Linked DNA regions of Drosophila melanogaster. The protein of the gene in region 1 interacts with the protein of each later gene in a pairwise test. Each region holds a gene or a part of one and is shown on either strand. Other genes may lie near its edges. The genes, in order: Rab6 and Evi5.

Region 1 (15,932 bases):
TCCTCCTGTGGCAATTAATCTGACAATGCGTTACAAAAAATGTGCCGACAGAAGTCAAGGAAGCACATGGGTTTACGTTTTATTGAAGCATAGAACAAAGGTCATAAAAAGGAAATTTATATCTCCCCATTAAATTGTATTAATATCTATGGGAAAAATGACACCTAAGTGTCCAAATAAAATACATTTATATATAAGCTAGGTACTAAAATGTTTGGTTACATAAACAACAATCTAATAGATTAATTACGAAGCCCATATTTTGCATAATATAAACCTCATATATGGACCAGCAACACCCTTTTATAGGGGTAGGTATATCTAATTTCCATAAGTCTGCTTATTTTCCGTGTATTTCGCTGATGTTATTCGGATAGTGGCGACACAAAAGAAAGAGATTCTCCTCATATGGCCAGGCTAAGTTTGGTTTGGTTTTTGCTTTTTCGCTGCCTTCTTTATACGTGCACTCTTTTTCAGCTGCTTGCCTCACCGTTGCAATATCAGATTACGTGCGGGCCAGCTTTTGTTGTTCTTGGCCGGGTAATGGGGCCTCTCCTTAAGTGCCCAGTGCTATTCGGCATATCAGATGTTGCTAATGTGGCCGCGCTAACTGTGGGCTGGACTACAGCGCTCCACTTGAAAGGAGAGTTTAGATACCAGATACCAGATACAAGATACTTTTTTTTTCGACCTTGAGATGGCGGTCGAAGCTCAGCTCCCGGCCCTGATAATCGAATTTGTGGCACACCACACTTTGGTCAGATTATCGAGATGACCAAAGGGCAGTCAGGAAGTTCTTTTGATACCTTAAAGATATCAAGTGGCTTTGTAAGCTCATTAACTCGACTAGGCTCTACAAATTTCTGGTAAGATTATTATTTTTTACAACTAATTGCGTAAGTGAATAAAATGAATTTATTATTCTACGATTTTTGACAAACATTTTTAAAATTTTCTTCAGTTTCTCAAAGTTGAGACTTACATAGAATATAGGTCATTTATGCACCATATAATTGTCGTGTATTTCGACTTCCAGTTAAAGACATTATTATATAGCCTAATGAAGCTTTCTTCCCGTCTTCGTACCCAAGCTCGTAGATTTCCTTTAGCTCCCTGAGTTCTTTCACTAACATTTTCAATTGCAGGCAATTAGCAAATTCTCTTTTGGCTCGCCTTAATGGCCGTCTAACGTAAAATGTCGTCTTACACACGAGTTTTATAGCTTCCGCTTTGCATTATCAAATATTATTGGTGTTGTTCTACCGCTTCTTATAGCTTCTTCTTTCTACCTTCTTTGCGATTGCATGTCGTCACGTCAAGCTCCAAGAAGTGGCAAGAAGAAGCAGTAGAATCGGCGCAGCAGCTGGATGGAAGAGAAAAAAACCCTTGGCTATCTAATGATGATCATTAGGAGCGGTACTGTAATCACACAGAAGCCAAACACAAACTCAAACTCCCAGCTCAACCTTAAGCCAGTTCTCCTTCTTCTAGCGCAGCTGCTTCTTCTTGCTTCTTTTTGTCAACATAAAACGGTAATTTCTTAAACAAAAAAGTAAGAACAACATCACAGTCAGTATCTGAGTAGCAAAAGATTACTCTGAACATTTATACACAGGAAACAAAGACGAGTATATAATAATGACAAGGTAGATCTTAGAAATCCACATTTTTTCTTACGTAATGTATTTTGAAAGATTTATTTGTATTAAGCCGAAAGATAGATTTATTTTACTAAGTATTACATTTAATAAATAATAATAATATCTTATTTTATATTCCCATTTTAGGATGGACAAACTTTGCCCAAAACTTGTACGACGGTGATTTTTTTCTAAGTTATATTTATCTTTTATTTGTTGACCCTCCTTTTTTGTGCAGTGTAATTAAAGCCAGTGCAACCTACATTCTCTCCCTTGATCTCCACACTCTCGGTCTTCTCCCTTCTGGTTTCCCCGGTTTTCCAATTCCGAGTGCGTTTTTTGCGGCTGTGCGACCATTGTAACGGCTTTGATTTGTCTTAGGAAGTCGCCTAAGTTTTTTTTTTGTCGGCGTTACCTTGGGTTCGTCTTGCCCCAATTGAACCTCCCCGCTTTTCTCACAGTGTGCCCCAGTGATGCGACTTTTTATGTTTGCCTGCCGCTGCTGGCATCTTAACAGTTAAATGCTTAGTTTACATCATTAGCATGCCGTTTCCAGATATTTTCTTTTCTTTTGGCTAATAAATAAGCAATTTGGTGGCTGCTTCTTTTACTGTCATCGACTATTTCTTTAATTGGTCTGCGCAAGCTGGTAAGCATTATTTAATTAGCATAGATTTGCTGGGAATCGGAATAACTTGATTAACATTATACAGTTGGGAATTTCATTTCTAATTCAATTAAATAAATACACCATTTACTTTTTATTACCAGAAAGTTCGTTGCCTCAGTCTTTCGTTTGTATTGAATAAAATATGAATTTTCATGTTCTCTTTACGCTTTGATAAATACGCAAAGAAGTGCAGAAATCTTTGATAATATTATTAGAGTCTTCCAAGAAACGAATTAAAATGTATATGTTGTTTTACCGCACTCATTACACCTAGATCAACACACAGGAATCGTTGCCTGTGGAGTCAGTTCGTTGCCTGAGTCTTTCGATTGTGTGTGATTTTGCTTTTGTCTCTGCGGCCGCAAGAACGAGTGCACTGAAGCATGGTCTTTTGGCTCCGGCTGTAGGTTTTTGTGTGTGTCTACTAGTATTTATTTATCTGGCCACCAAGTCGGTGGGTTCTATTAACCATGTAAACAATACCGTTAACACGACACGACGCGGAAAATGCTTTTGGCAGCGGGAGCGAAACAGATAAATGAAATGTGCCGCAAGAATTTGCCAAGTTGGTGGCGGCAAAGAGGGACGTGCCAACTGCATATACCACACCCCCCCCCCCTACGGTAATGCATCACAGAATTGAACAACAAGAACAGCTACGTAGAAAAAAAAAGCGTGAAAAAGAGGCGACAGGAAAAACGGTTTGAGGAAAACACTTATTAAATTTTAGCATGCCCAAAGTGTGGAAAGAGCTGGCGGCGAGGCCACAAAGAACCGCAACAACGACCCCAAGAACGAACCAAGAATTCCCAATGATGCATTCCTGGAGTTTTCCGCAAGTTCACATACCTGTCCAGTCTGAGGTTTTCCTATATCCACTCTAACTGTGGGGCACAAAAACAAAAAAGCATTGAATATAACTCCACAGCTTAGTTTATTATTGATTTGTTTGTTTGCTTATGCTTGCACTTCACCACTGCCACTCAAGGGTTCGATCATCGTTGACCACAAGAAGTGTCTTCTAGTCTTTGAGTCTTCGAAGAAGAGTCATTTATTGTGTTTTTTTTTTATTATTATTTTTATATCCACCTTGCGCGTATGGTTTTCTCGTTCTGAACGCGTCGCGTGCTGTTTTCAAACTGAGGCTCAGCAACAAGTTCGAGTTGCTTTTAAGAAAAGCATTCGGAAGAAAGTTGTCTGCATACTGAATTCTTTTTCTGTTCGAGCGCGCCAAAGATTCTCGTTCGAAAGCTGCAGCGAAAGAGATATATTCTCTCGAGAGAAAGAGAGCATCTGCTAAGAGAGTCTTCTCCATTCCACCGAAGGGAGATTAATTGCTGGTTGTACTGCCGATAAGCATGAAATGTCGCTTGTCCGCAGTTTGTTGGCCAATTAAAAATTAGATTTCGCTTTAGATTTTGTCCATAAGATTGGCCAAAGTTCGCGGAACGATTGCAAAGATAAAAGTTCGGACGGGCTATTTTTTTGAAAAATAAAAACCTTCAATAGTTTATTTAAAGAGTTGAATGAACTAGAAAGTGACAAGCTGCCTTCATTGACACCACACATAATTGTCCGTGACATGTGATTAAAATAATGGTGTAACTTTTGCGGGGCTTTACTTTCAACTTCATGTACACAAAATTATACCTAGCATAATGCAAATATGAATATTATTTGTTAAGACAAGAATTTATTTGTTCACACATATTTTGTATATTTTACACTATTTACTATTTTTTCAAACACATTAGTCACTTTATTTGAATCAACAATGCAATCTATACCTCTTATTTATGGCCCAATCATATCTAACTCATTTCAATAATCCGTTCTTCCCTTTACCAATTATAAAACCATTCGCAGTCTTTCCGACCGCAGAATCCCGACATGAAAAAATATAATAATATATACTTGCGTGTGTATATACACAAAAGACCATAAAGCACAGACATTCATTCCGATGCCAAATGCCGACGCCAATAAAGCCCCCAAGTAAATAATTCCAGGCATTACTCCATTACTCATAATGGCGCAGCCAAATGTCGCGGTCGCATCCTCATCCTCATCCTCGTCGGCGGAGGAACGCAGCAAACGATTGAGGGAGCAGGGATCTGGAGACTGGCGACGGAGGAGCAGCCGCCCATGTTGTTCGCCAGGTTGCATAAATCTGTTCGATTCATAACACAAAGATTGCGAAGGAAGCACAGTGATCTGGCCTTGCCTCAACTTTGCTCAGATGAATTTCTTTTGTTCAGAACGGAGATGACATCGTGAATGCAACATAAGTTTGTATTCACTTTTATAAACTAAAAACTCTTTTTAAACTTATACTAAACAAATTTTTTGAGTTTTAAAACTTGTTCTTCATAATATGCTGCAAATGATCGCAATTGATTACTCTCTATAAGAAATGCAACTTCCACTTTTTCGAAATTCGGGTGGACTCACTGCGGCATCTCTGGTTCCCGCATGGTGACTCCTTTATCAGCCTTGTCTTCATCGATCGCGTCGGAGATTTTGTCCGTCTGATGGAGGCGGGGGTCCGTCGGTGGGTCTGTTCTGGTGGACTCCCCTGTCCATTCCCGTTGAGTCGTCGCTTTGTCTTGACTCCTTGGCCAGGCAGCTTGACTGGGACTTGGAGGCGTGTTTGGTTGGGGGAATGGAAACAGAATAATATAGAATGAAATATTTATCGCCATTAGAGCCTGATTAGCTGCGGGCGTGTTCTGGCCATCGTTCTTTGGGCCACGTTCCGCGCTCTTGGCCGCCTTGCTTGCGAAGCTCTTTTGGAGGCACTTAATAAGCTTTGCTGGTGTGATTGTGATGGGAAATTGATATGTCCATTCAATTATGTACTGGTCGTGTCAATAAACTGATTGCGATCGTGTCCAGCAACTTACCGAGCAATTAGTTTCCCAATAAGAACATTCCGATCAATATGATTGATAAAAACAGCGATTGAAGAGGAGTGTCTGGGATGAAATGAAATCTGGACGTGCTGACACCAAAAGTGAGACGGATTCAAAAGCAAAACTCATTCCAAGTGCTAAGTTCCCTGGGGAGTATAGTGCTCAGAATAGTTGTGCAATAGAAAAATGGAAAGTTAATCCGGATATTTCTTGGTAAAGATAACATCTTGTTGACATTACCCTTTTTTGGTTTATATTCAGTTTTTTATAACAAAAGAAAAGATAAAGCTTATTTTTATATCTTTATTTTTGCTACTTCTTGGAAAGCTTTATCTAGTTAAAATTGGGTTCACATATAAGTTGGATATCTAAAACATTTATAGTCTTATCTGATTTACTTTGTTATAAAATATATATATACATTGGTTACCATCTTCTTAAACTAGCTCTATTTATTTATTAGATAAGATAATTCGACATATAACAAAATGTATATAAATGCTTTTAAGTTCTTTCAAAGATACATTACAATCAATTAATGCATGATTTTAAAGACTCTAAAAGTTGTCATTTATAATAAGCACGTGATACTGCAATCTCATAAGTATTTCTTTATTCAGATACTATCTTATACTCCAGAATTCATTTCTTTTGGTTGGCTGCTATCCATGTTATGAACGAGGAGACCTGGACATACACCGACGGAGAGTTGGGCTGACCACATGGAAGTTTTCCCCAAGACACGATGCCGATTAGAACGTTTCCCTGGACCAGCGGACCACCGGAGTCCGAGGTGCAAAAGCTGGTGCCGCCGGTGAGAGGACCTGTGCACAGGTTCGTGGTGTGCACATCCTGACCCTTAGAGCCAAGTGCCGCAGCGCAGGAGTCGAGGCTTATGATGGGTATGTTCTTCGCCTCCTGGAGGGTTTTCGGATATGAGGGGCTATTCGTTTTGCTAGTACTGCCCCAGCCAAAGAGGTCAGCCTTTCCAGTTGGCCTCACGCCGGACGATGGCAGCTTCACCGGAGCCACTGCAGCGGTCCAAGTGAAGGCGGTGGGCGTGTAAATCAATCCGATGTCATAGGGCACAGTTCCGCCGGTATAAAGATCATTGATCACATAGTGGGTGATTTGCCTCTTCTGTGTTGTGCTCGCTGTTCCGGCCACCGCAATGCTTCCAGCCACCAGGGTGCTTCCAAGTACTTGATTCCTATTGGCCAGGCAGTGAGCAGCCGTTACCAGCCAGTTGGAATTAATGATGTTAGCGGCGCAATAGTGAGTTCCTCCGTACTGCATGGACACTATATACGGAGCACTATTGGCCGCCGCCGCTTTTCCACCCACAACGCGTCCTTCGGGTTGGTCCAAGGCTAATCCAGATCCTTGGGAAACGCACACCGCCAGCAGGAGGATAGTGGCCAGGTGGCGATGGCGCCACATGGTTTGTTGTCCATTCGCAATCATGGTTTTCACAGAACTGTTTACATTGGCACTATCGACGGCTTTTTAAATTAATTCGTGATAAAAAATTTCATGCGAGCCAACCGAGAATATGATAAGAACTTTCAATCAGAGCCCTTGTCTTTCAGATAAGAGCCTATTATAACTTAAGATTATACGATTTTATATATATATATTTCTCTCTTGTTATGATAGACTCAGTCAACAATGAGAATAGATGCAAAAGGGTGTTGAGGGCAATATCTCAAGTTTGTCATTCTGTATTTTCGAGGGGATCCCCGTCCATTGATAAGGAAAATATTATAAATATAATATCTATAAGACCATTGTTAAAAAGGTTAGTTCTGGTAAGAAATGTTTAGATTTTGAAACCATAGTCTCAACATTATTTACTTAACTCACATATTTCACAATGATTCGGTTCGTTATTCTGTTATTGTGCAATGTAAGAAATTGTTATTTACAGCCCGAAAATATGTGAAGCATATAAATCTGTTCGTTGGTTGCTCACCGTGTTCCTCTCTCTTTACGAGATAAGATAAACTTTAAAAAACAGCTCGTTGTTTGATATAGTAGCTGTGATGCGAAGGAAAGTCCCACATTTAAGTGACCGCCACTAGGGACACACATTTGATTGCTTTTATTGAAAAAATAGGGAAAAACTCGACTATTTAGGACACCTGCTGGTTAGCCGATATCCACGATATAAACGACGAGACCTGCACGTAAACCGACGGTGAGTTGGCCTGACCACAAGGTAACTTGCCCCAGGACACGATGCCAATAAGGACATTGCCCTGGACCAGTGGTCCGCCCGAATCCGAGGTGCAAATGCTAACGCCGCCAGTTAGAGGACCAGTGCACAGATTGGTCGAGTGGACATCGCTGCCCTTGGTGCCCAGGGCGCTTTCGCAGGAGCTCAGCGAAATGATAGGCACATTGGTGGCCACCTGCAGGGTCGACGGATAGGAGGCGGTATTCGTGGTGCTAGTGCTGCCCCATCCGTACAGATTGGCGGTGCCAGTGGGCACCACTCCCGAGGATGGTAGCGTCACTGGGGCAACGGCGGCGCTCCAAACGAAGGCGGTGGGCGTGTAGATCATTCCGATGTCATAGGGCACAGTTCCGCCGGTGTACAAGTCATTGATCACGAAGTACGTGATGCTCCGCGTCTGCGTAGTGCTTGCAGTTCCGTCCACCGCGATGCTTCCGGCCACCAAGGTGCTGCCCAGCACCTGGTTACTATTGGTCAGGCAGTGGGCAGCGGTGACTAGCCAGTTGGCATTCAGAATGCTGGCGGCACAGTAATGGGTGCCACCGTACTGCATGGACACCGCATAGGGAGCACTATTCACCGCTGCCGGAGATCCACCCACGACACGCCCCTCGGGTGCGCCGATAGCCACTCCGGATATTCGGCATATGCCCAGTAGGAGAAGAAGCCCACTGGCCAACGACTTTGTTTGCTGTCCGTTCGCTAACATAGTTTTCGCGGAACTGTTTACATCGACCTTTATCGCGGCACGTTTAAATTAATTCGCCATTCCAAAATTTTGCCAGCGCCAGCAGATAAGGCTTTCAATTAAGGACCGTGTGTTCTTCAGATAACCACTTATTATAATTTGAGATTAAGCGACGCCCGAACAGTGACTCTTTGACAGAAGTACGTCAAGTTCCACCGATAGGATGGGCAAATACCTACGCTCGTTTATCTAAAAACAAGCAAATCACTTTAGAGAGCTTTATATTTGAAAATCGCGTTATCACCTGTTAGTATTTCTTACACTTAGTATTCACTTTTTAATATGAAATAAAAAGTTAAGCAATTACCTTGTACTTCATCAGTATTTAAACATTTTAAGCAGGTAAATTTTAGTTAAAATTATTTAATAACGGTAACGAATATCAATCGATTTTTTTTTAAATCATAAAACATCGATTTAGTACAAATATGCGTTTATCGATAGCGTGGCAGAGAAATTGCTTTTGATTGCCACTCTGGTCACACAGCAACTGACTCAGAAGTTAAAGAAGAAGAAGCAGAGACCGTAATTTTTCCACGACTCAACCTAGCGATTTACCAAGCCATTCGAGCCGCAATTGAGTCTTTAGCCAGACGGAAAGCATTTAGAGCGTGTGTAATAGAGTGCGGCAACTTGAAAGCGGTGCATCCCGAGAAATCGCAGTGCGAAAGGGCCCCGAAAACCGCTGGCCCAGCCCCATTATAAACAGTGAGGAGGGGTGGAGATTGGTGAGAGCGGAGCGGAGCGAGAAGAGAGTTCAGCAAACCCGTAATTAAGAAAAAGTAGACACGTACGTTGAGGAAGATGTCATCCGGAGATTTTGGCAATCCGCTGCGGAAGTTCAAGCTCGTCTTCCTCGGCGAGCAGAGTGTGGGCAAGACCTCGCTGATTACGCGCTTCATGTACGACAGCTTCGACAACACGTACCAGGCGACGATCGGAATTGATTTCCTATCGAAGACCATGTACCTGGAGGATCGCACTGTGCGCCTGCAGCTGTGGGATACGGCGGGACAGGAGCGATTCCGCTCGCTGATACCCTCGTACATACGCGACTCCACGGTGGCAGTGGTCGTTTACGATATCACCAACACCAACTCGTTCCACCAGACCTCCAAGTGGATCGATGACGTGCGCACGGAGCGGGGTAGCGACGTCATCATCATGCTGGTGGGCAACAAGACGGATCTCTCCGACAAGCGTCAGGTGTCCACCGAGGAGGGTGAGCGCAAGGCGAAGGAGCTTAACGTGATGTTCATCGAGACAAGCGCCAAGGCCGGCTACAATGTGAAGCAATTGTTCCGACGGGTGGCCGCGGCACTGCCCGGCATGGATTCCACGGAGAACAAGCCCTCCGAGGACATGCAGGAGGTTGTGCTAAAGGACTCACCCAACGAGACAAAGGATCCCGAGGGCGGCTGCGCCTGCTAGAACCGGTTGAGCCGACGATCCAACCATCCTCTCCCCCTTTTTCAACAGCAGGAGCAGATGCAGATGCAGGAGATCGGCCAGCAGCACTGGTGTACACAGGTGTCAGGTGTATGTACTGGCCGGATCTGCGGCGGATTCCTCAACATCTATACACACATACACACTTTACGTTTAAGTTTATTTATAAAGTAACAAATGATAGCAAAGGCAAATAGACTAAACAACAATTAACGAAATCGGCTAACTAATTACTGTTAATTGACGAGCTAATCCCGAGCGCAGGCGAGTGCGAATGCTAACTCATTGACACGAGATCAGGGATCAAGATCAGAGTAATATTTGCGAGTTAGCTACCAGACAAGAATATAGTGTAGTGCATTTCCGATACCCCCTAAACCCTCTAAACGAAAAAAAACCCAAGACCATGTACTTATGTCAGGCCAGGCGGTCCCAGGATCCTCCGACATTCCAGCTCTCGGCATCTCCAGCAGTCGTAGATACCACGCAGCCAGTCTGTGTTCAATGATTCCACCAGCCAGGCATTTTGTTTCCAATTTTAGCCCCCGTTCTGTTCTGTTTGCGGCTTTTGTTTCGCCAGTTTTGGTTAGGATTTCGGTTTTTTTTTTAGCACAGCGAACGCGACTGCTAACTGGAACTGTGGATGGCATAGGACTTGGCCACGTGCATCTTATGAATAAATATACACAAATATAAAATATGTATTTTTATGACTAAAACTGAAACAGATAAGCAGAGCACGAGCAGAGCAAACACTTAACAATATTATTAACGATTTTTGCTTCGATTAGCGAGAGAACTTTGTGCATTTTTTACGCGAAAAGCAAAAGCTTACAAAATTGATAATTGAATAAAAACATAAACTATTGATGCAATTTTTAATAAATCAAATTATGAAAATGAAAAGTATACAAGATACTAGCAATAAATTAATACAAAAAAATAAATTCAAAACATGACTCATACGTTGTGGGTGCACGCACACCTTTCCCAAAAAGTTTTCCGCCAAATGTGGGCCGACTTATCTTATCATTCCAAATCGTTCCTGAATGGACTACAGCGCACCTCTGTGTCGGCATGACTAGTCCTCAATTGCTGACAAATTCCACTGATTCGTCAAGAAACTGGAGTGAAATAGGCGGCTTAAGGTGGATCAGAAAAATACGATTTTTAGTTGGGGAAGCTTAATAATCGTATATTGAATCGAATTGCTTTTATTTGATTGCATGCTCTTCTCTTCTATTTGAAACACCTTAAAATGTGTTTGGATTTGGTTTTTTATTTGTGAATTCCGGTTTCGTAAGCGTAAATACATAGAAAGAACAAAAATGCGTACTTGCTTTGCTATGCAAATGTTAAGTATACTTTTGATAAATAGTTCGAAATAGAGTCTTAGAAGCTGTCCTCGTTGGCGATGAATTCGTCGCGAATCTTTTGCAGCTTTGTGATGAGTTCCGCCACGGAGACCTCGCCGTGCACCTTGTTGTCCCGAGTGCGCACGTTAACGGTATTCGAGGAGCGCTCCTTGTCGCCCACCACCAGAATGAAGTTGAACTGGGCCAACTGAGCATTGCGTATCTTCTTGTTCATCGTGTCGCCGGCATCGCAATCCGCCTCGCTCATGAATCCAGCATCGTGCAACTGATCCCGCACTGACTGGGCGTACTGATCATAGGCAGGACCCACTGGAACGACCATCACCTGGCGCGGTGATAGCCAGAAGGGCCACTTGCCAGCAAAGTTCTCCGTGAGAATGGCAATCATCCGCTCCACTGAGCCAAGAATAGCGCGATGGATGATCACCGGCCTCTTCTTCTCGCCATCGTCGGCGATGTAGCTGAGATTAAAACGAATTGGCAGCTGGAAGTCCAACTGGATGGTGGCGCACTGATGGGCACGCTTCAGTGCATCCATAATGGTAATATCAATCTTCGGTCCGTAGAAGGCGCCATCGCCGGGGTTCTCCTTCCACGGCATTCCAAACTCGTTGAGTGATTCAGCCAGCGCCTTTTCCGCATCATTCCACTGTTCCAACTCGCCAAGGTAATTATCCGGGCGTGTGGACAGCACCAGCTGGAAGGAGAATCCGAAAATGGTATACACATACTTCAGGAACTCCAGGCAGCCCTTCATTTCGCTTTTAATCTGCTCGGGGGCACAGAAGATGTGCGCATCGTCCTGCTGGAAGCGACGCACGCGAGTTAATCCGGTTAAAGCACCGGAGAGCTCGTTGCGATGAAGCACACCGAAGTCGGCCATTCGCAGTGGCAGCTCTCGCCAGGATCGATTGCGGTTATCGAAGATGAGACAATGTCCTGGACAATTCATGGGCTTGAGGGCGAACTTCTCCTTCTCGGCCTCGAAGGAGAACATGTTCTCGGCATAGTGCTGCCAGTGGCCGGAGGTCATCCACAACTTAGCGTTGTAGATGTTGGGGGAAATGACTTCTTGGAAACCACGCTTTCTATATTCCGCCTTGATGAAGCCCATCAGGGTGTTGTAGATGTGCGCTCCTCGCGGCTGGAAAAAGCATGAGCCAGGCGAAAGTTCATGGAAGAAGAACAGCTCCTGCTCGCGACCGATTTTGCGGTGATCACGCTTAGCCGCCTCCTCCTGAAGTTTCTCCCACTCCTTGAGCTGCTTCGGGTCGGGGAACGAGATGCCGTAGACGCGTTGCAGTGTCTCAGCGTCAGCCTTACCCTCCCAGTAGGTAGAGGAGTTCTTGGTGATCTTCAGGGCCTTCACCTTGCCGGTGTGACGAACATGAGGTCCGCGGCAGAGATCGATCAAAGAACCGCACTTGTAGACAGTGGTGCGGTCGGTGGTCACCTTCTCGTTGAGAATGCGCACCTTGAACTCATTGTATTTGAACATCTCCAGCAGGTCGGACTTCTTCATCTCCAGACGTTCGAAGTTCTGCTTCTCCTTGACAATTTGCTTAACCAGACCCTCCATGGCGCCGTAGTCGTTGGTGGAGATCTAATTGGGCGTTCAATTTAATTTAATTCTTACTGAACATCACAAATTACTTACACCCTCGCCCTCCAGATGCATGTCGTAGTAGAAGCCGTTTTCAATGGGCGGACCGTAGCACAGGTGTCCACCATAGATGCGCTCCATGGCCTCACCCATGATGTGGGCAGAGCTGTGCCAGAAGACGGCCTGCGCCTCAGGGTCGTCGAACTTGAGAAGCTGCAGGGTGCAGTTTCCCTCGAGCACACGGTCCAAATCCCACACCTCGCCGTTCACCTTGGAGATGACGGTGTTGTCAGCGAGACCCTGACTAATGCCGCGGGCCACTTCGTACGGAGTGGTCTCCCAGGAGGTGGCGTCCACCTGCTTGCCATCGGGCAGTGTCACCTTGATGGGCTCACGCTTCTTGGCCGCCAGTTCGGCCTCGTATTCCGCCTTGCACTTCTCCCAGAAGACATTGCGCTCCTCGATGTACTTGGGCAAGGGACTGAGTTCTGAAATCAATATAGCAGAGATCAGTGGAATTTCAGGTATTAGAGAGAAGAAGGCAGCTAATCTTAAAGATATGCTACATATCTTACAGACGGAAGTGCGTTTTGTGTTTTTAATTCTTAGTTAGAATTACTTACCCTTGCGAGTATCTCCACCGCCGGATGGCTTCTCCTTTTTCTCCTTCTTCATCTTGGCAGCCTGCAAATCCATCGGAAATAGGTTAAAAATCAATATAAACCGGAGATATTCAAGTGGCCACAAGTGTGCTACGTATGCAATTAGACAAATGCTCTTTTTCGGTATCTACTTTCGACTGATGTTTTCTTATTGTTTAAACAATTGGGGACATGGCAATGAGCACTTTTCGGTGCTATGTTTTCGGTGCTCCTATCTCTGTTTTATCGAGCCGTCTTTGAGCGTATCTTCGTCGTTTTATGGCTGATGCAATAGAGTAGCAAAAAAAAACAGACACTCATGAAGTTGGTTGGTTGTTAGTGACGTCACAGCCGGCGGCACTGATTCATTGGAGAATCGCATACACTCACACAGACAAGCATAACATTTACACGTGCCAGCAGTAACAGGCGTTTAAATTGAAGTTTAGGTCAATTCTTTTTAGCTTAAAACACCAACCAAAGTTGCGTAGCTGTGTTGTTGTTGTTCTTTCAATTGTGGTTGCTGTTGTTGTTGTTGTTTTGGTGGCTTCGACTGCGTCTGAATTTTCGGCAAAATCCACTGGCAAATGCGGCTTATTTGGCTATAATATCTGCCGCCCTGCGGCGCCAACTTCAACATAATTCGGCTAACTAGCACTTCTCATACACTCGAATGCAGTTCGAAAAGAGTTTAACATGCCTTTTGATTGTTCAAATCCAAGTTATTTAGTTCCGTCACCACGTTGTCGCCCATTTTTTACGAAACAAATTTATCAAAAAGGGGCACAGTGTTACCAGGTGGCAAAATAACAGAGACATGGGAACCTTACAAAATGCAATGCTAGCATCAGTTCAAAATGCAACATTCGTACCAAGCAATATAGTAGTATACATTTTAAAGGTTTCTAGCGGCGGAAAACAAATGTTTCCCAATAATGTTAAAACTAATATAAAAGTCAGTTGATAAACCTTTTTTTTTTAGTTTGCTTATGCCACGAGATTTCTAGTATATTTAAGTTAAGCTAAATGATACCTCGGTTTCAACAATTGACCTTCCAACAAATTAAATATATATATTTTTTCTTTAATACTTCTTGACTTAAATCTTAAATCACCCCTCGCTGAGAAAAGTCTTAATTACCAGTATGTGTTGGCAACACTGCGCGCCCAACTGCGAAAATAACGGTCAGCTGTTGATTTGTTTGGCGCCAAGTCGAGTTCGAAAGTGGCCCCAATTCGAGTCCTGCGATTCGGGACAAATATTGATTTTCTCACAGTGCTGACATAATTTCCTCGCCATCGAGTGCAGTCGTGTTTACCTAGCATTCCACGCCTAAGATTGGCCAAACAGAGTACAAATTTCGGTCGGAGCGTAACGGAAAAAGGCGACAAGATTGCACACCTACTGGAAAACCCCCTGCATCAAGGCAACGGTGGAACGGCGGACCGTCTGGGCGTGGACTTCGAGTTCTACATGGCCTCGAAGGTGCATCCAAGTCCGGGGGCGGCGCGCAGTGTGTGGGCGTTGCCCCTAACCGCCTCCTCCTCCTGCAACATGGTCGTCGCGGAGGAGGATGGCCATGCCCACGCCGACGACATCCATTTGGATCATCGACCGCATTCGCCGCCATTAACGGGTCGCGGCACGGACGGTGGACACGGCAGTAGCGGCGTCGAGGACCACGAAAATGTGCTCCTCTTTGAGGGGCTCGATGGTGCCACCACCGTGAGTTTGGACGACATCTTCGATATTATCAAGAACGGAGAGGTCAGCGAGGTGGAGAATCTCGTGGACAAGTTCGGCATGGAGTGTCTGTCGGCCAGGGATCGTCATGGCTACACGCCAGCCCACTGGATAGCTCTCAACGGCAATGTCCAGCTGATGCGATACCTCATCGAACGCACGGCTCCGATCGATCTGCCCTGTTTGGGTACGCAGGGTCCACGGCCCATTCACTGGGCGTGCAGGAAGGGTCATGCGTCCGTGGTGCAGGTCCTCCTCCAGGCTGGAGTTGCCGTCAATGCGGCGGACTTCAAGGGACTTACACCCCTCCATCTCGCCTGCATGTACGGCCGTACTGCAACGGCGGCCTATCTTCTTGGAATGGGAGCGCTGAACAACCTAACTGACATAAACGGCGATACGGCACTCCACTGGGCAGCGTACAAGGGACATGCCGATCTTATGCGACTCCTCATGTATTCCGGCGTTGAGCTTCAAAAGACGGACAACTTTGGATCGACTCCACTGCATCTGGCTTGCCTGTCTGGTAACATGACGTGCGTTCGCCTGCTGTGCGAGAAGTCCCAGCTGGATCTGGAACCGAGGGACAAGAATGGAAAGACGCCGATCATGTTGGCACAGGCTCATCAGCACCAGGATGTGGTGCGCCTGCTGTACGGCGAGGTGAAGAAGAAGTCCCGTTGGATTCCCTCAGTCTCGGAAAGTTGGGGCTGGCTCTTTGGCGGAGCTGGAGACTCCAAGGGACCGCTGTTTCTATTTCTCTTCTCTGTGCTACTTTGGGGCTATCCCATGTACATGATCCGTGCGATTCCCATTACGTGGAACATATTGAGACGCTCGCACTATTGCTTTATATACTGGAACGCCGTAATGTGGATAAGCTGGGCCATTGCCAATCGCCGGGATCCGGGGT
Region 2 (16,599 bases), on another chromosome or scaffold:
TCACCCACACCATCGTATCCATTTCGCAGTGGCCAATTGTTGTAGTCCGCGGAAATTGAGAGGCAATATAACAAATACCCACCCGGCACGACACTTGGCCATATGTCAAGTCGTGGGACACAGCAATTAGGACTCCTGGCTGCTTCAGCTCCAACCTTTGCCTTGGATTAACTGCAGCCAGTTGTAGTTTGCAGTCGTGGACAACTGACGGCATCAGTTCCAAATACACATATGTACATATATATACAAGTATATATGTATCTAGAACTTGGCCAAGAGCTGAAACCACGACGTCATTGGCGAAAATGTAAATGTTTAGACAAGGCCAAAAAGGCCTGGACGTGGTCCACATGATGCACTGCCTCCTGCTCCGCCAGCCAGACAGATTTGGGCGTCTGGATATGTGGCGATATATGTGTGCAGTGGCAATTAGGGGAGGCGGGGCACTTAAATGTACAAAATAGTTTTATGACTTAATTTTGGTCTAATTTTTACTATTTCCCACTGCAATAAATTTGCGCTCTGTTTGGGTTATTGTTTTTAATCGCATTGGTACAGTGCACGATCGTTGGATTCATAATTTTTTATATATGCAACATTTATTTGAAGGAAGGATATAGTGACTTAAATTTGTTGGCTTAAAAATGCATTAGAGGGATATTAAATATTTTCTTTTTAGGCCAAGTTAAATCCCCTGCTCGATTGGCCACTGTATTTATGTGTGTTTTGCATTTCTTTCTTGCTCCAAACAATTTGAACGCTAGCCATTTTTCGGCTTTTCGCCCAACAACACAAATCATTTTGCATGTTCGCGGCAGCCGCAAAAGGCGAGCCAAAGGTAGGGGGGGATGGAAAAACAAAAATAAATAAATAAAAACATATTGAAAATAATTAAATATTTGCCTAGTTATGTTCGGGTCTGCTGGGCACCGAACTGGGCACACACGTTGCCCCCCACCATCGCTTACCAATCCGCCCACGCCGCAGTAAATGGACAGGGAGACGAGCAGTCCGATGTGATTGAGCGCCGACTTCCACTTCATCGACTGCCAGCAGGCGGTGCTCCTTCGTCCGCCGGCGGTTCCCTTGGCCAAGCCACCACCCTCGGCGGCATCCACACGACGGTCGAGATGCTTGAGCTTCTCCAGCAGCTCGGTGCTGGCCTCATCCTGCGAATCGTACTCCTTCACCGTCACCTTCTTCATGGGCATTCTGCACTCCGTTTCTGATTGTTTTGGCCGGCCTATGCCTAAATTACTTGTGCTATCATTTAATAGTGTGTTTTTTTCTTTCTTTTGTTTATATCTATTTAATTTCTTTCTTTATTTTCTTTTTGGTTTTCAGGGGCCCGGCCCGCTTTGGTCCTGTGAGTTCAACATTTCGGGGGCACGTCTCACGCAAAGGGGCAACTTTTGAAATAGTTCGCACTCGCGCCAAACGATCTGGAATTTTGACGCGGCCCCAGAATCCCGAGGAGAACCAACCGTCAACAAGTCAAAGTTGCGACTGTTTTGCTTTTGGCGCTGCATTGGATACGCGGGGCTCTGCATGAAAGGTGGCCACCTTTGGGGGCAAGCGTGTGGCAACATGTGGCAACGTTGGCCGCGAAACTGAACGAACGTAAAATCGTTGCATAAATTCGAAATAATACTTATTATAATAAGAATATATAAGAACGGAAACGCTGAGCGATGGTTGCTTGTGTATAGAAACATTTTATTATATTAATTATATAATAGAACATTAATAAAAACGAGCTTAAGTTATCCTGTGATTGATAAATATATCAGAAAGTTAAGTGTGTGTTGTTCATAAAGCAAGATAACATCTTTCCATTTATCTATTCAAATTAGTCACAAAAAAATCTCTTTCTAGCACATTAAATTTATTCAATCTGTATAAATTAACTGTAGAATATTCTGTGAAAAAAAAAACATGTTAGGTAATAAAAATAACATCATTTTTACATAGCTTAAAATAAACGGTACAAGACTTTTCACAATATGGCAACGTCAATGTTCGAATGTGGCAACATCTTCAAATGGCGGCAAATTTCGAAAAAGTTTCTCAGCCAATCCCATTGAAAACTGGCAACATATTTTATCCATTTTTAATCTGTTTTCTTTTTACATACATACATTTTATGATGATGATGTACATTAATACATTGAACTTACAGTACATTTAAGACGATCCATACTTAAATATATATATTTATATTTATATATGTGCATGAACGCAAGTGTTTCTTAAATCTAAGTTGTCAAAAAAAAAAAGGATGAGAAACGAACAATACGTATTCTTGAAAGTCAAACTAACGTAACGCTCTGTTTAAGTAGCTTAAACATTGAAAATTGATTTTCTGATTCCGCTTAACCGTTAATAATATTAAAATATTAATTTTTACGGTCTATCGCACACATTTGCAAGTTGAGTGAGTGAGCTGTGTTAAATTTTGTCCCTGTTTTGCTGACTAATTTAGCAATCATATAAGTGCAAAATATTAACGTTTGCACCAATAGCTTTCTCTTGCAAAAATACTTTGGTATTTTCAACGTGAGTTTGCATATAAATTGAATATGTCTTTAAAAATAAACGTAAGACTACTTCTTGATCGTAGGGAGAACTAATTATAAATTCAGTTAAATGTACAAATTAATCGGTCCTTAATAAACCTACGTGTGTGCGTGTGAGTTTGTAGCTATGTCTGTGTCTGTGTGTATGCTTCGGTTTCGATCTGTATCTGTCTATCTGTACTTGGTGCGCAATTTGCCAGCTTACTACGATTCTAACGCGGTCATTATTTCGTCCAGTGTACCCCTCGAGATGGCATGGCGGCTGGAGTTCAACTGAAAGTTGGGTTCTAAAAGGCATAAGCAGAGCAAATAGTTATTAGAAGGTGCATTCAAATTAACATTTACGAAAGTATGAAATATAAGCAAGTTCAAATTGCAACTGGAAATTGTGCATTGCCTATACACTTACACTTAATTAAGATACCCAGACTTAGAGAAGACCAGAGAAAGTACAAAAAATGCCTATTAAGTAGTTGTTTTAATGACAAATGTACGCAACGGGCGAATGTTCATTAAATCAATCAATGGAATGCTTGACCAATGACCAAGTGTCACTAGAGCTTTAACGTAAGAGTTTTTGGCCTCACAAAATAGAGAAGTTTCGTGAAAAGCGAGACTACTTGGCAAGAATTAAAGTAGAAAATGACGTACTTTACTGTCTTGAAGACTTAACAGTCCCCACTTGTACTCCCTAAGTATTCATGCTATTATTTGAGATTGCCTTGCGATGGAGGCGATCGTCTGGCACTCACCGGATAGCTGGTCCATGATGACGTCATCTAGCGTGGCCATGGGATCCTCCATGGGCGAGTAGTATGTCGTTGCCGTTGATCTGGATTCGCTGGTGGGTTCACCATTCACTGTCCTGGGCGCCGAGGGCGGGGTCATAAGCTCGGCCGGCAGTTCGGGTGAATCGATGGGATCACCGATGATGGTTGCTGCTGTTTGTTGATCCTCGTCATCGTTCGGCGCTTTGCTTGCTTTCTGCTCTGTTTCCTCAATGGCTTGTCCAGCTAGCAGCTTGGCGTTATCGCTGGCGGACTTAAAGCTGCAATCGGAGTCACCGGAATCGAGGCGACTGCGCGATTTGGGCGTACTCTGGCGGGATGATGGCGTATGCAATTGACGGACATCGTCCAACGACGTCTGGATCTCCAGCACGTCATCTTCGTTATCGTCAGTTGTGGACGGGAGCTGTGGTGGGGTCGGCAAGTCACTGAACTCCTCGGCATGCTCGACCTCGTCCTCTACTTTCTCAACCCTGTCTTCGTTCGTTGGTTTTTCTAAAGATTTGACGGCGTTATCGCTGATTTCAGCTGCATTTTCCTCCAGATTTTTCTCGTCCTCGTCTAGCAAAACTTCTTCTCGAGCATCTTCCGATTTTTCCTCCGAATTGTCAGCCTCTTTTAACTCTGGCATATCTTTTACTACTTTTTTTTCCTTCGCCTCATCTGTATTTTTCTCTGTTGCATCCACAAATTGTTCTTCTCTATCTCTTTCTACTTCATTTGTCTCAGTTTCGTGTGCGTCTCCCTCTCGCTCATTCGTTTCGATTTCCTTCACTGGTGGTTTGATTTCGACATCAGGATCGGAGGATTCAATTTCCACAACTGGTGAGTTTTCCGTTTTTTTCTCCTTTTTCGTTTGCATTTTGTCAGTCGTCTCCTTTTCGTTTAGCATCTTGTCCGTCTTTTTGTTTGATCTTTCTTTTAGGGGTTTTGGCTGCTTTTTTTGTGCATCCTTCTGCTTTTTTAGTACCGGCTTTTCGTCCTCATCATCACTGATGGTCGTGGTGAAGGATATCTTCTTTTTCTTGGGCGGAGGCGTTCCAGATCTCTGGGACCCCGGCACATCGTTGGGCACTGGACGTAAAAATGGAGAGAATTGCATTAGTTTTAGCTCAATTCTTCTTTAATTTGATTTGGTCAAATCCTGTCATAAAAATAACGAAATCATTTAATACAAAATGAGACATGATTAATGCGATTACATCGAGTTTGATGTCAGTTTAATAAGTGCATCCTCCTACCTATATACTCCTCATCGTCATCATCATTATCTCCACCTCCATCAGACCTGGAGGAGCTGTTGTCTATGCTTAGGCGGCCCAACCTGCGTAACTTGAGCCTTCCGACCACAGGCGTACCGTTGCATGAGCGGCGCCTAACCCGCTCGCGCGAGCCTCCAGAAGATGACGAGAAGAGCGGCGTGGAGGTCAGTGCTATGTCCTCCAGCACATTGCCAGTGGCATCCACACGCTGCAGTCGTGTCGGTTTCGGAGCTCCTCTCGATGAAAGCGAACCGAAAGTAGACCGACGTGATGGACCCCCGGGGCTGCCCAGAATCTCGACGGCCTCGCTGAAGGATACCGCCTTCTTGGGATACACCTTCCTGACAACTCCGTCGCCAATGGGAGGCGGTTTGCAGTCAGGCCACTTGGCACTTGGTAAACGCGTCCTCCTCACCTTCACCACACAGCCAAAGAAATGCGCGCCATAACGCTTAACCAAATCCGGATCGGTGTTGCGTCCGCGACTGGATAATCTCTTCGCCTTGATCTTGGGCTTGGGACTTCGCTTCAGTGCGGAGTGTGTGCTTTCAGAACTCTTGGCCAAACTGGGCGGCGGTGTATGAGCGCGCAACGAGTGGTTCAGAGCACGCTTTTTGGCGCCATTCTGCAAAGGAACTTTGATGTGGAAATTGGTCTGCGCTGTTGATGACTTTTGTTTCTTAGGTGACGTTTTTCTCTTTTTGTGCCTGCTACGGCCACTAGTACCGCTCTGGTTAACGATCTCGGGCACATTGATAAATGATGAATTGGCCAAAGATTCGACGGCCGAATCGATTTCTGTCTGTTTCAGGCGACGTAATAGCACCCGCACCTTTCTTTTAACATTCGGCGACTGCTGATCGCTGAACATCTTTTGCTGAGCCTTCGTCTTGGTGGGAACGACCACCATCGATTGCTGGTCCTCCTCGATGGCCTCGCCGTCGTCGTCAATGGACACTTTTGGCCTCTTGTTGTGCGGCGTCGATGCAGAGACAGTGGATTTCCTGCTTTTGTTTGGTTTTGAGTTAGCCACGCTCTTACGCTTCCTCTTGGCCAATGACTCGTCGAGATGGTCGAATGATGTTTCCGAATCAAACAGATCAATGCTGCACTGTTCGACATTCTTTGATTTTCTCGACATGCGCAAGTCATTCTCGTCCAATTGGTTTCCACTCTCCAGGAGGTCTGACAGAAAATGGAAAAAACGATTGGAGGTTATTAAACTTCTAGGATTGCCAGCCAATTTGCAGGCAAACAAAATTATGCTCAATTTACCATTTACGTCGATTGGCGAATCGGGCGGTATGGGCGACGGAGTGGAGAGCTTGGTGTCCACCGGATTAATAGTTTGCGGCGGCGGCGCCGCTTTGACCATATCAAAAATATCCATTATCGCAGGTTTCAGCCCTTTGCGATTTTCCCACGAAAATGAAAATTAGCAAAGAGCGCAGATTTACCGCTTTAAAATATACGGTTAATATGCGCTTACAGATGTGTGTTTTGCGCAATTAGTGAGGCCACTGTACCACGGACTAATTGTGGCGCGAGGAGCACTCGATTTGCCCACTTAATCAGCAGATGCGACTTTTAAAATCGCGTTTGCATTCAGGTAACTTTCCTGATTAATTTTACACACTCCTAAAGACGCCATCTAGCTGGTGTGCCCGTGCGCAGATACCGCGAAAATATTTCACCGCCTCGGCGCATTTTTATGGGTTATTTATGTCGCCAACAATCATTAACCACAAAATGTATTTTAAATTTATCAACAAATAGCCTATTTCCTATCATTAAACGACAAAGATCTTATGGACACTTTTCATCAATGGAATGCTGAACAACAACTTATTACTCTGAGCAACATAACTCCATTAAGATTCATACTTATCTCATATGGTTGAATGTTTCAAAATCATTTACAAACATGTAATAACAGCACTTGCAGCCCACTGTACAGGTTTGAGTCTGTGCTAAACAGCTATCATTGGTATTTTTGGTATTATTCAAATAATCGATAATGCAGTAGAAACTTTTCTATCGGTTATCAGCTATCTGCGCTTCAGAGAATTTTAGTATATGGTAATACTTATTTAGCGGCTTACTTCAGCTTTTGCGCGACGGTCACACCGCCAGTGGGCGAAAAAAAACATTCGTGAATTCACCGTCGTCGAACGAACGCTGTATTTTTTTCCAGTGCAATATTCGGTCGATGTATAACGAGTGATTGAATTAAAGTAGTCCTTTTAAAAAAAGTACTAGTATTTAAATAAAAATAAAGTCATACAGAACAGCATAGGGAGAGAGGGCGAGAGAAAAAATTGCTGCTGCTGAGGTGTGTGCAATTGCCTGTGCGTGTGTGTGTGTGTGTGTTTGTGTGACGTTTACAGCAGCAAAAAGTTCGGTAGTGTCGTCAAAATAATCGTGTATTATAAAGTTAATGCAAACGATTCTCGATCGGATACGAGTTGATCGCGACATATTGAGTTCGTCGAATGTGGAAAAGTCTAGCTGATTGAAAACGAAACGCGGATAAAAAAAAAACGATAAACAACGGCAATTTGTTGCTGCCGCAACAGCAACAACAACAGCAGCAGCGCACTAACGCAACCACCACCACCCCCTGTTCCAGCCTAACGGTTCATTTACAGTGGCCGAAGAAGCAGCAGCAAAGGTGAGGTTCCAGCATCTTTATTTATATTTTATGTGTCGTTCTTCTTCATCATCTTTACTTCTTCCGTAAAAAAACTCAATGTGTGTGTGTAAACATTATCAACGAAAAAAGTGGAGTGGGAAAAAATACAGAAACTTTCTTTCGCTGTCTGTGTGGGTTTATGCTCGCGTGTGTGTGTCTGTTGCTACCTTTTTTTTTTTACAAATTAGCGAAGCAGCAAAAGAAAATCGGGTACAACTAATTTTGTATGCTTAAATTTCGCGCATTAATGTAATTAAAAGCGTCCATTGTCCATTGTTCATCGCTCATTGTCCATCATCATTCATCATCGTTCATCATCGTTCTTTGCAGCTTCGCTGAGCAACAACAACAACAATGACAACAGGGCAGCCCTGCTCTTACTTCCTTTTCCATTTCCATTCCTATTGCCATTCCCATTGCTCATTTCCCATTGCCCGCTTCCCTTTCCCAATTCCTCTTTCCCAATTCGCTTTGCTCTTCCACTCCCACCGCATCAGCTGCTCCTGCCACTAGTTGTTGTTGTTGTTCCTGCTCTGTTGTAACCTTGTCTTGCTCTCCTTTCCTTTGCTTTCCACCCACTTTTCGTGGGCCCAACGCACAGTGGGAAAATTCAGCAATCGAGGGAGGGAAAAACTATTTGCCAGTTATAAAATGGAAATGGAAATCGAAGAATAATGACTCTACGTCCACTCTTCTGTAAACCATTAATTACGACCAATGGCTTAGTAATATTTAAAAATAACATCTAATCTTGTTCTCCAATTTTCACTGTGCATCTCTCCATCTCGCTCTAGCCCGCTCTGCGCCTGCGCATTGCCAACTCGGCGACACCTTGCAAGCAGCGTTGCCACCTTGCACATGGCCTACGTAGACGCAACGAACAGTGGGGGTGAAAAAACTAGCATTAAAAATAGTAAATTGCTAGCTTATTAAGCTTCATTGTTGTTTGTTTAATATGAATACAGTTAATTTAACGCTTTCATTGCATTAAAAACAAACTGGCTGCAGCGAATTTCGTCGAAACTAGCTAAAAGATTGCTGAACTCTTGTTTATCTGCCGGTCGTGATAAGCTTTGTATCCGTATGTAGATTACATATACGTGCAACTGAGGGCTTTCTGCTAAATTATATCGAGATCTTAAAGATGCCCAAAGGCAGACAAGTGCTCAGTTACTTTATACTTTACTTTGCTTTGGAAATGCAGCCATAGTCCTTTGACCTCTGCTGTACCCGACCCATCGCACTCAAGTCTTTTGTTTTTGTTTTTTTTTTTTTGTGCGTGGGGATTGTTGCGTGCTTATTCAAATTTCAGTTGTGCTATTTATTTAAATCACGAGCATTAAAACTAGTGGAGCACATAGAGCAGAAAGTCATCGTCATGTTAATTATGATCATAAATTTGCAGAGCTCGTGGGTGTGTTGGTGTATCATCCGTCATTATCTGGAGAAGGTTGGGGCAGGATAGCCTTCATTCTGCCTTCTCTGGCCAACAAAAAAAAAACATATACATATATAAAAAAAAGATAAATAACAAAAGTCAAGATACTTTTTTTGGGTTATTTCAAACGGAATTCTTTTTGCGTTTAGCGGGTTTTTCAACTATCTGCTCAAGTGTTTTCGCCATGTTTCATTATTTGCATTGTTTTATGATATTTTGGCGGTTGTTTGTTGCTGCTTATTATGTTGCCCATTTCGATCGCGCGAGCTTTCGACCTTCGCCGCAAAGCCGCAAAAAATATATGTCAAAAATAATTTGCACTTGAGTCTGTTTCCCTATCGGCGTTTATTTTGTATTTATGTATGTATACATATTTTTTAACGGATCATACCAAGCGCTTGCCAACACGTTTTCGCGCAACCAAACTAAACGCAAATTAAGTAAGCCAACTGTGAAATTACAGTGATCACTGTGCAAAAAAAGACTCCGAAATAAATGCGATTTTGTTAACATTTTAAGTGCATTTTAAATTATAAAATATATATGTAATTACTTGTTTAAGCGAATACTAACTATTGGAGTCAAGTTCATGATCGAGCTGCCACCTTTCTTTGTGGGGCTCAACGAAAAGTATCTATGTAGCGTGGCTTTACTTTATTGGCATTTCGTTACTTCCTCTGAAATTTGTTTTCGAAAAAAGTTTGACAACCTCATGCCGTCTCTTGCGATTGCGCAGCTACCTTTTGTTAGCCGTCCCTTTCTGGCGAGGCAAAAAGTGCCGTTATGTAAAATCAGAGGCAATAGCTTCCACAACATAAAACCGATATGTATGTATGTTTCGCCAAGAAATATCGAAAATAACAACAATGGGGCTGGGGCATCCAGCATCCACACAGTCGTGGCCAAGCTATTATGGCCACTTGGCCAACTGGAGGCTTACCTGATTTACCTGCCCCAAAGCATAGAAAAGCAGGTAACAACAGAAGCGGTAGTGGCGATACCGATATGTGTGCCAATCTCCAATGCAGACGTGCTGGTATTTCGGGGCACAGTGAATGCCCGATAACTGCGAAATAATTACGATACTTTATTTTTTGTAACAGCTGAACCAGAAATATTGTTTATTGTAATAATTTGTGTACTTTTCGTATTTACAATGATATTCTTCCCTTTGCTTCTGTTAGCCAATAGCCACTGTGAGTTTGGCCAAATTCCAGATTTCAAGCAATGATTTTACAGTTTGGCCAACAATGTCGGTTTGTTTGTTGTTTTCTTCAGCCAGCCAGTTTTCTTTCCTGATTTTTTTGTTTTTGTTTGCCGCTCCCTATATTTTTTTCACTCAGTCATTCAACAGCAATTGCAGACACATATCGTTTTTGCTATTTATTATTGCTGGAAACTGAAGGAGTTTCGTCTGTTTCCATTTCCATTTCCATTTCGATTTCAATTTCAATTTCAGTCTCGGTTTCGAATTCGGTTTCTTGTGGCTGTTGAAATCCAAAACGGCTCGAATATTGCGCTGAAAACACTTTTTATTGAAGCACTTGTGAATGCTACTACTGGGAACTTATTTTAGCCAATGGCAACTGAAACAACAATTGTACGAGTACACTGTAAATGGAGATGTATTATTTCGAATCGTGTTGTAACAATCCCTTTTGGAATTGAACTTGACATTTAAATTGATTGCTAATTGAAATGATTAAGTTAAAAGGTCATTGCTTTTCGTGATCATCTCATTAAGTACTGAAATGAAAAAAAAACAGCTACAATAACAAAATACTTTCTAGATTTGCCATATTACTCTGCGTTATCCCAGCTGTTTTTTTTTTCAAGTGTAACTAGTAGCATACAGCATCATGTGCTGAATGAATTATGTTAATGAGTTTGGAAGTTGGCTGGGGCTGGCCAAAAAAAACTCAGGGGAATTGTATTTCATAATTCCATTTGTCCGCTGCCTTTTCCCCTTTTTTCATATTTTCCGTTTGCTAGACTTTATTTCATCGTGCCGCCCCTTTCAATCCACTCAAATGCACTACAAAAGTTGTTGAAATAGTTCGATTTGCTAATAGTACAAAACAACTAATAAATTAACTGTAAACTATCAATATTTAAATGTATTTCACTTGCAAACTTACCATTAATTCAGTTATTATAAAAGTATATAAGGTATAAGTATAAGTATATATTATAAAAGTATCAAACTAACCCATTTTTTTGACTGCAGCTGTAAATGTCATTTGCGCGATAAAGTTTCATTGTTCTCAAATCTTGAATTGTGCTCGAGCGGAGTGCGTCTTTTGACTGATTGAAGAAATCGTCGAATTCTTATCGTCTGGGCCTCGTACACCCCCCCTGTGGCTTCTATTTCGCCCTTCCTGCTTCTGGTTTTTAATGGGTAACTACGCCCTATCAGTTCCACTGTTGCACTTGTTTTTCACTTGTTTAGAATTCGTGGCGATGGATGGAAAATTGAGTTCGAGTTGGGGCGACACTTGGGTATTATGTATATACATTGCCACATTGGCATTTCCACTAATTGTGGCAAGCAGACAGGTAAATGCATTTTGTAATTGCCACCCAGAGACAGTGAACGCTCCTTAAGTGAAACCATAGCTTTGCCTTTTAAGCTAACATTGTTTCAAAGTAAGAGAATTTTTCAAACCCATGTTTCAACTATTTGACGGTAAAAGTATGTGAATAATTTAAGCAGCTTCCATTATCGAGTGTTTACTGTGACTGACGTCACACCATTGCCAAGGGCTCGATTGGCGTGGGTGGGAGCGAGATAGCCAGCGAGTCAACAATTCAAATTGGGTTAATGAGAGTTGGCCAACTCAGGGCTTGGTTCTATATGTATCGGTGTTGTGTATCTGTATCTGTATCTGTATCCCCGTATCCGTATCTGTATCTATATGTATGTACACACAAGTGGGCGGTGGTTTGGGCGTGTGATTGCGTGGGCGTGGCACTCTTGAATTTTTGATGATTGGGCTTAAATTACATTGGGGACAGCAAGCGAAGCACAACAACTTGCTGTGATATTAGGAAACATTCTTATACGGGCCAGACGTATGATTAGGATTTGCTGCCATCCCATGGGCTTACATCCAACATATCCTTTGAGAAATTTTGTGATACTAGTTGCACTCAATTTGCTTAAAGTCGTCTAACTTGAATAAAAATCTACACTTTCATATTTCAAACCTATATGGAATGAATGAGTTTCTAAGCCAACCAAGCTATGATGTGCTAATAGGCTTATCAGCGCACTGGCTGTTTATATACATATGTGCCTTATAGCCATTGCCGCGAGTGTGCCGAGTGGTACTCTATGGCTTGGGGGCGTGACTCGTTGCATTAAAAGATGCAAATGCATATTGCAGATGCAAATGCAAATGCAAATGCGGCGTGTGTGCGTGCGCAAATTAGCAAGACAACAAATGAACTTCGCTAAATGCTATCGCCCCGGTCACCCATGTATTATTCATTAATGTCCGGCAAAAAAACAGCAACAAAATCACACACAAAAAGCCAAACAAAACAAAAACAAAGTTAAATAAAAACACGAAATAAGCAAATTGTGATTTGTTCGAAAGTGGCAAGAGTAAAAAAAAAGAGACGGACAAAAAATTAGCTAAAGCATTCACCATCAGGTTTCTGACTAATCGCCGCCCCGGTACAGTGGAGTCCATTCAAATGGGTCATACGCACGACAGGCTGTCGGCAAAAGATGTGGAGCAGATGTGACTGCGGTCGCAACAGATGTATAATTTGAGTAAACCGCGGAGATAAAATAAAATAACACTGCCATGAGGCTGGCACAAAAGTTATTATTATAATTTGCGAATATTCAATGCTCTACTTTGGAAAACAAACTTTCCAAATTGGATGTACAATCAAATCTGATACAATTTCTAAATTTCTTTTCTGAATTATTATTTCATATAAGATTTATTGATAGTTAAATATTCTTTCTAATAAATGTTTTTTGAGTCTAAACGAAATTTCCATGGGTAAAAGTAAAAGCAAGGGAATACGAAACACAATTTAAAAACAGATATTTTACAAATCGATAGTGAAAGGGTAAAGCAAAACAAGTTTTGGAAATACCTAATTTACATCCCAAATGCCATGAGTCACAAATAATCTGGCTGAAGAAAAAAAAAAAACTTACCTGCGACAAAGCGAGCGATTGGTTTGAAATACCCCGCGAATCGAATCGAATCAGAAATTGTGATGGTGTTTTTTATACTCTTTGTTTGCCTTTTCCATCTGCGGGCTGCCGACGATTCTAACGGTCGTGCATATATGTATGTATGTATAATGCATATATTTATAATGCCAAAACCATGAGTCGGCTCGGAACTAACGATTCTCATAAAAGCCAACGAAGCCAGCGACTTCAAGCCAAGAAGCTGAAGTAAAAAAAAAAGCGAAATGTGAAGAACTTTTTATGAATGAATTAGACTGGAAATAGTGCAGAAATATCTGCCAGCACACACATGCTACTTCACTCTTCACTCTTAACTCTATGTGCTGGTATATTAATATGTATTTATACGTATATATACATATATACATTTTGCCTGCACTCAAGCTTAAGGCTGTAGAAACTTGAGAGGTCTTAGAACCCACAGTGGGCGTTAATAATTAAGGGGCCCAACTCACAGACCATGCTAGAAATATATGTATGTATATGTATATATGCACAAACTATATGTTGTGTCCTCTGACGTTTAAGCTGAAAAGCTGAAACTTATGGTTTGCTTCTTCTGTCTAATTTAAGATCCATTAATTGATGTCCAGAGGCTACTTTTTGTATTGCCGCCAGCGTAATGTAAACATCTGTTAACAGACTGTGACTACAATTAGTTATCGTTATTCATTCCGCCTATACATGTGGATGTACATATGTATGTATGTACACTTGTCTGCTCGGCATTATTTTCGCTCGTTTTGTTGTTGCTGTCGCAATTATCTTTGCGTTGGATTGATAGTGGCAGTGAAATAATGTCACTGGATTGCCAATTCAGCACAAAAATATACATGCTAGTGGTACAGTGGTCTCCCGCAAAGCACACCGCTTGAATATACAGCAGATAGAATCATATATCGAAGGGTACTATTCGTAATTTACGGTTCCATTACATTTCTGTGTAAGTATATGTAGGTAAACTTGTAGGTTTCATTATGGCCATGTCGCACTGTCACAAAAATTGTACCGCCTAAAAGTATGACTAGTTTGAATGAGCGTAAATCAACACACATACCTATTGATTTTCATTGATCGGAAATCGGGTTAAATTGCTCGTGTCTCTGTGACGTCAAAGCCTTTGACTGTGTCCCACATTTAATAACAAATAACAAATCAAAAACAGTAACTAGCATGGCCTAAAAGTATACCTCAAGTTTGTTTTAGTATTTCAAACCGTTTAACGCTTGTATGTGTATGTGAATGATAAGAGCTAAACTTGTTATCAGTGTATCCGCAGTAGACTTGTCTACATAAGCGCTTTTGAGCCAAATATCAATGAAGAAACCGCTCTGAATGTGTGACACCAGTTCGAGTTCGTTTGGTCTTTGGTCTATCTTCCAGTTTATTACCATTTTCGAATGTCATTTATATCAAAGGGGGTTTATTTGCCCAACTTGTTTGAGTGCCTGTCAAAGATAATCCCACCTGATGTATGCGATAGAAGAGAAAAGGAAAGGCTGTTTAATTACACTGTATTGGGAAAAATGGGTCACTTCTATCACACTTTGTGTTTTCCAATTGACAAAAAGAAAGTTTTGTCTTCTCATGAGCATATTTTTCATAGAATTTCTATATCAAATGGTTAATATTTAATGATGGTGTTTTATTGTATAGCTTGATTAATTAGGTAACTGCATATCTATGAATAACGCTATGATTAGCGTTATATCATCGACACAACTTAACCAACTTGACCTTTAGTGTTACACACGGTTACTAGGTGTTAATTTTCCATTCGGTTGGTTGGGTAACCATAATCCCTTGCTTTTTTTCCCATTCAGTCAGGGTTAATCTGGCCAATCGGTGTTTGTATGAAGTCCCCACTTGAACTTCGACCAGGTGCGTTTCCATTTGCCTTCGTGTTGGTGCTTTCGCAGGCCCAAACTTTGGGGTCCAATATCGATAAAGATCGTCATGCAACCGGATGAGCGGCGAATTCCCGCGTTTTTTTTTTTGTATTTGTGAATTTGCAAAACTAAATATGCAATAGAATCAATCAATCGTTTCCAAGGCAACAAAACACCTGCAAAATACTAGTAGCCCTTGTACCCGCACAATCTTTTTCTACATTTTTTATAGCATTTTGGTTTATTATTTGTCTACGTATGGTTCTTAAAATAATTAACACTATCGACCGATTAAAAAAAAAAAAAATAATAGAAAACAACTTATAACCAACTACTTAAGTGCATAGTGTGAAGTTCCTTTTTTTTTTTTGATGGGCTGATGGAAAAATTACAGATTGCGTTTCAGAGCCATGAGAATGGGTTTTCACTAACAATAGAAACAGAGATAATAGAAATTTTGTGAACTTTACCACCTAATAATGTCAAAATGCGTAAACTTTGGAAAAAGTTCCTAGCAGATATAAAAAAGTTATGAATTTAGTAAGGGTTATTAATTGGAAAGGCAACTTCTTATAAACTAAGTTTGATCTAAAGTAGCTATTGAATGTTGACATTCTTCGAATGTATCTCGTTATGATTAAGGCTTTGCAAAGCACACGGATTTAATATTTCACTACTGCCCACTGGTGGTCATCACATTGATCAGGCCGGGCATAACCTCCGCCTGAATGGGTCCATATTCCACCCGCTCGCCGTCCACCACCAGGATGCCATCGGAGCTGCTCGGCTCGATGCGGAATGCCCGACAAGGCACCACCTTGATGAACGGATCCTCGCCGATGGGCAGATGGGTGCCTGCGTTTAGGTTCAGCATGAAATTGAGCAGCTGATGGCGACTAACGCCTCTCCGGATGATCACCAGGTAGATGAGGCCATCGTCCAGACGGGATTCGGGCGCAAAGAAGACATCGGAGGAGAGATGGGTGGTATAGGCGGCATGGACCATCACAAAGTCACCATCCTCGCAGATCCAACCATCGCTGCTGAGCAGTGGCATCTGTAATGGTGGAATGGTGCCCGTTGGCACCCTCTCAGCGAATTCCGCATTTGCTGCCTCGATCCGCTGGCTAATGCTCATCCGGCTGCGATTGGATCGCATACTGGGTCCGCCCAGGGAGTAATATGCCGTTCGCCTGGACATGGCCGAGTGCCAACTGTCGGCATGCTGGCGGTAAACCGAACGATCCAAAGATATGGCATCGGCGAACTGTTCTCCATCCAAGACCGCCTCCCCCTCCTCCTCCTCGGGTAGATCATGGAATTCCCCGGCATTCAGAGGCAGAGATGAGCGGATTCCTGCAGCCGTTGATTCTGCAGGCAACTCTCGAGCCGCTTCCACTGGTGGTTCCTTCTTGCCCTTGCCCAGTAGATAGGACACTCGGCCTTTGTAGCTGCGCAGCCCGATCAATCGCTTGATGGCCCACAGCGTAAACCTTTGCGCTCCAATCGATCTCAATCGCTCGCTCTCTATATCGATGTCGGCTATCAGACCCCAGCCCACCGACAGGAAGGAGTACATCACAAAGTGCTTGTCCCGCGTCGCCAGCTCCACTCTGACCACATCCATGGGTGTACTTTTGCCCGCCATGCAGGTCAAGGTGGCGTGGAGAATGGGCTTCGGTTCGTACGGTTCATTGCAATGATGGGCCACACTTTTGGCCAGACCATTCCCGGAACC

Evidence for each region.
Region 2: the proteins of Rab6 (region 1) and Evi5 interact in a two-hybrid assay, tested with the Drosophila melanogaster proteins (2 studies listed by BioGRID).

What each region holds. Positions count from the first base shown.
Region 1 is NT_033779.5:12,101,878-12,117,809, reverse strand, and holds Rab6 (Rab6), read left to right. Parts: upstream 1-8,693; 5' UTR 8,694-9,010; coding exon 9,011-9,637; 3' UTR 9,638-10,589; downstream 10,590-15,932. Other genes in the region: Phae2 (phaedra 2), read right to left, coding at 5,865-6,662; Phae1 (phaedra 1), read right to left, coding at 7,355-8,167; ThrRS (Threonyl-tRNA synthetase), read right to left, coding at 11,048-12,634, 12,689-13,122, 13,258-13,318, 13,754-13,915; patsas, read left to right, coding at 14,750-15,932. UniProt on the Drosophila melanogaster protein: Protein transport. Regulator of membrane traffic from the Golgi apparatus towards the endoplasmic reticulum (ER). Mediates membrane trafficking during egg chamber growth and organization, possibly upstream of exocyst component Sec5.
Region 2 is NC_004354.4:11,444,494-11,461,092, reverse strand, and holds the start of Evi5 (ecotropic viral integration site 5), read left to right. Parts: upstream 1-6,754; 5' UTR 6,755-7,297; intron 7,298-15,080; exon of another isoform or gene 15,081-15,534; coding exon of another isoform or gene 15,535-16,599. Other genes in the region: CG43155 (uncharacterized protein), read right to left, coding at 969-1,211; HP5 (heterochromatin protein 5), read right to left, coding at 2,781-2,863, 3,329-4,438, 4,606-5,811, 5,902-6,016; Sk1 (sphingosine kinase 1), read right to left, coding at 15,535-16,599. UniProt on the Drosophila melanogaster protein: Functions as a GTPase-activating protein (GAP). During border cell migration in the ovary, acts as a GAP for Rab11 and is necessary for the maintenance of active receptor tyrosine kinases at the leading edge.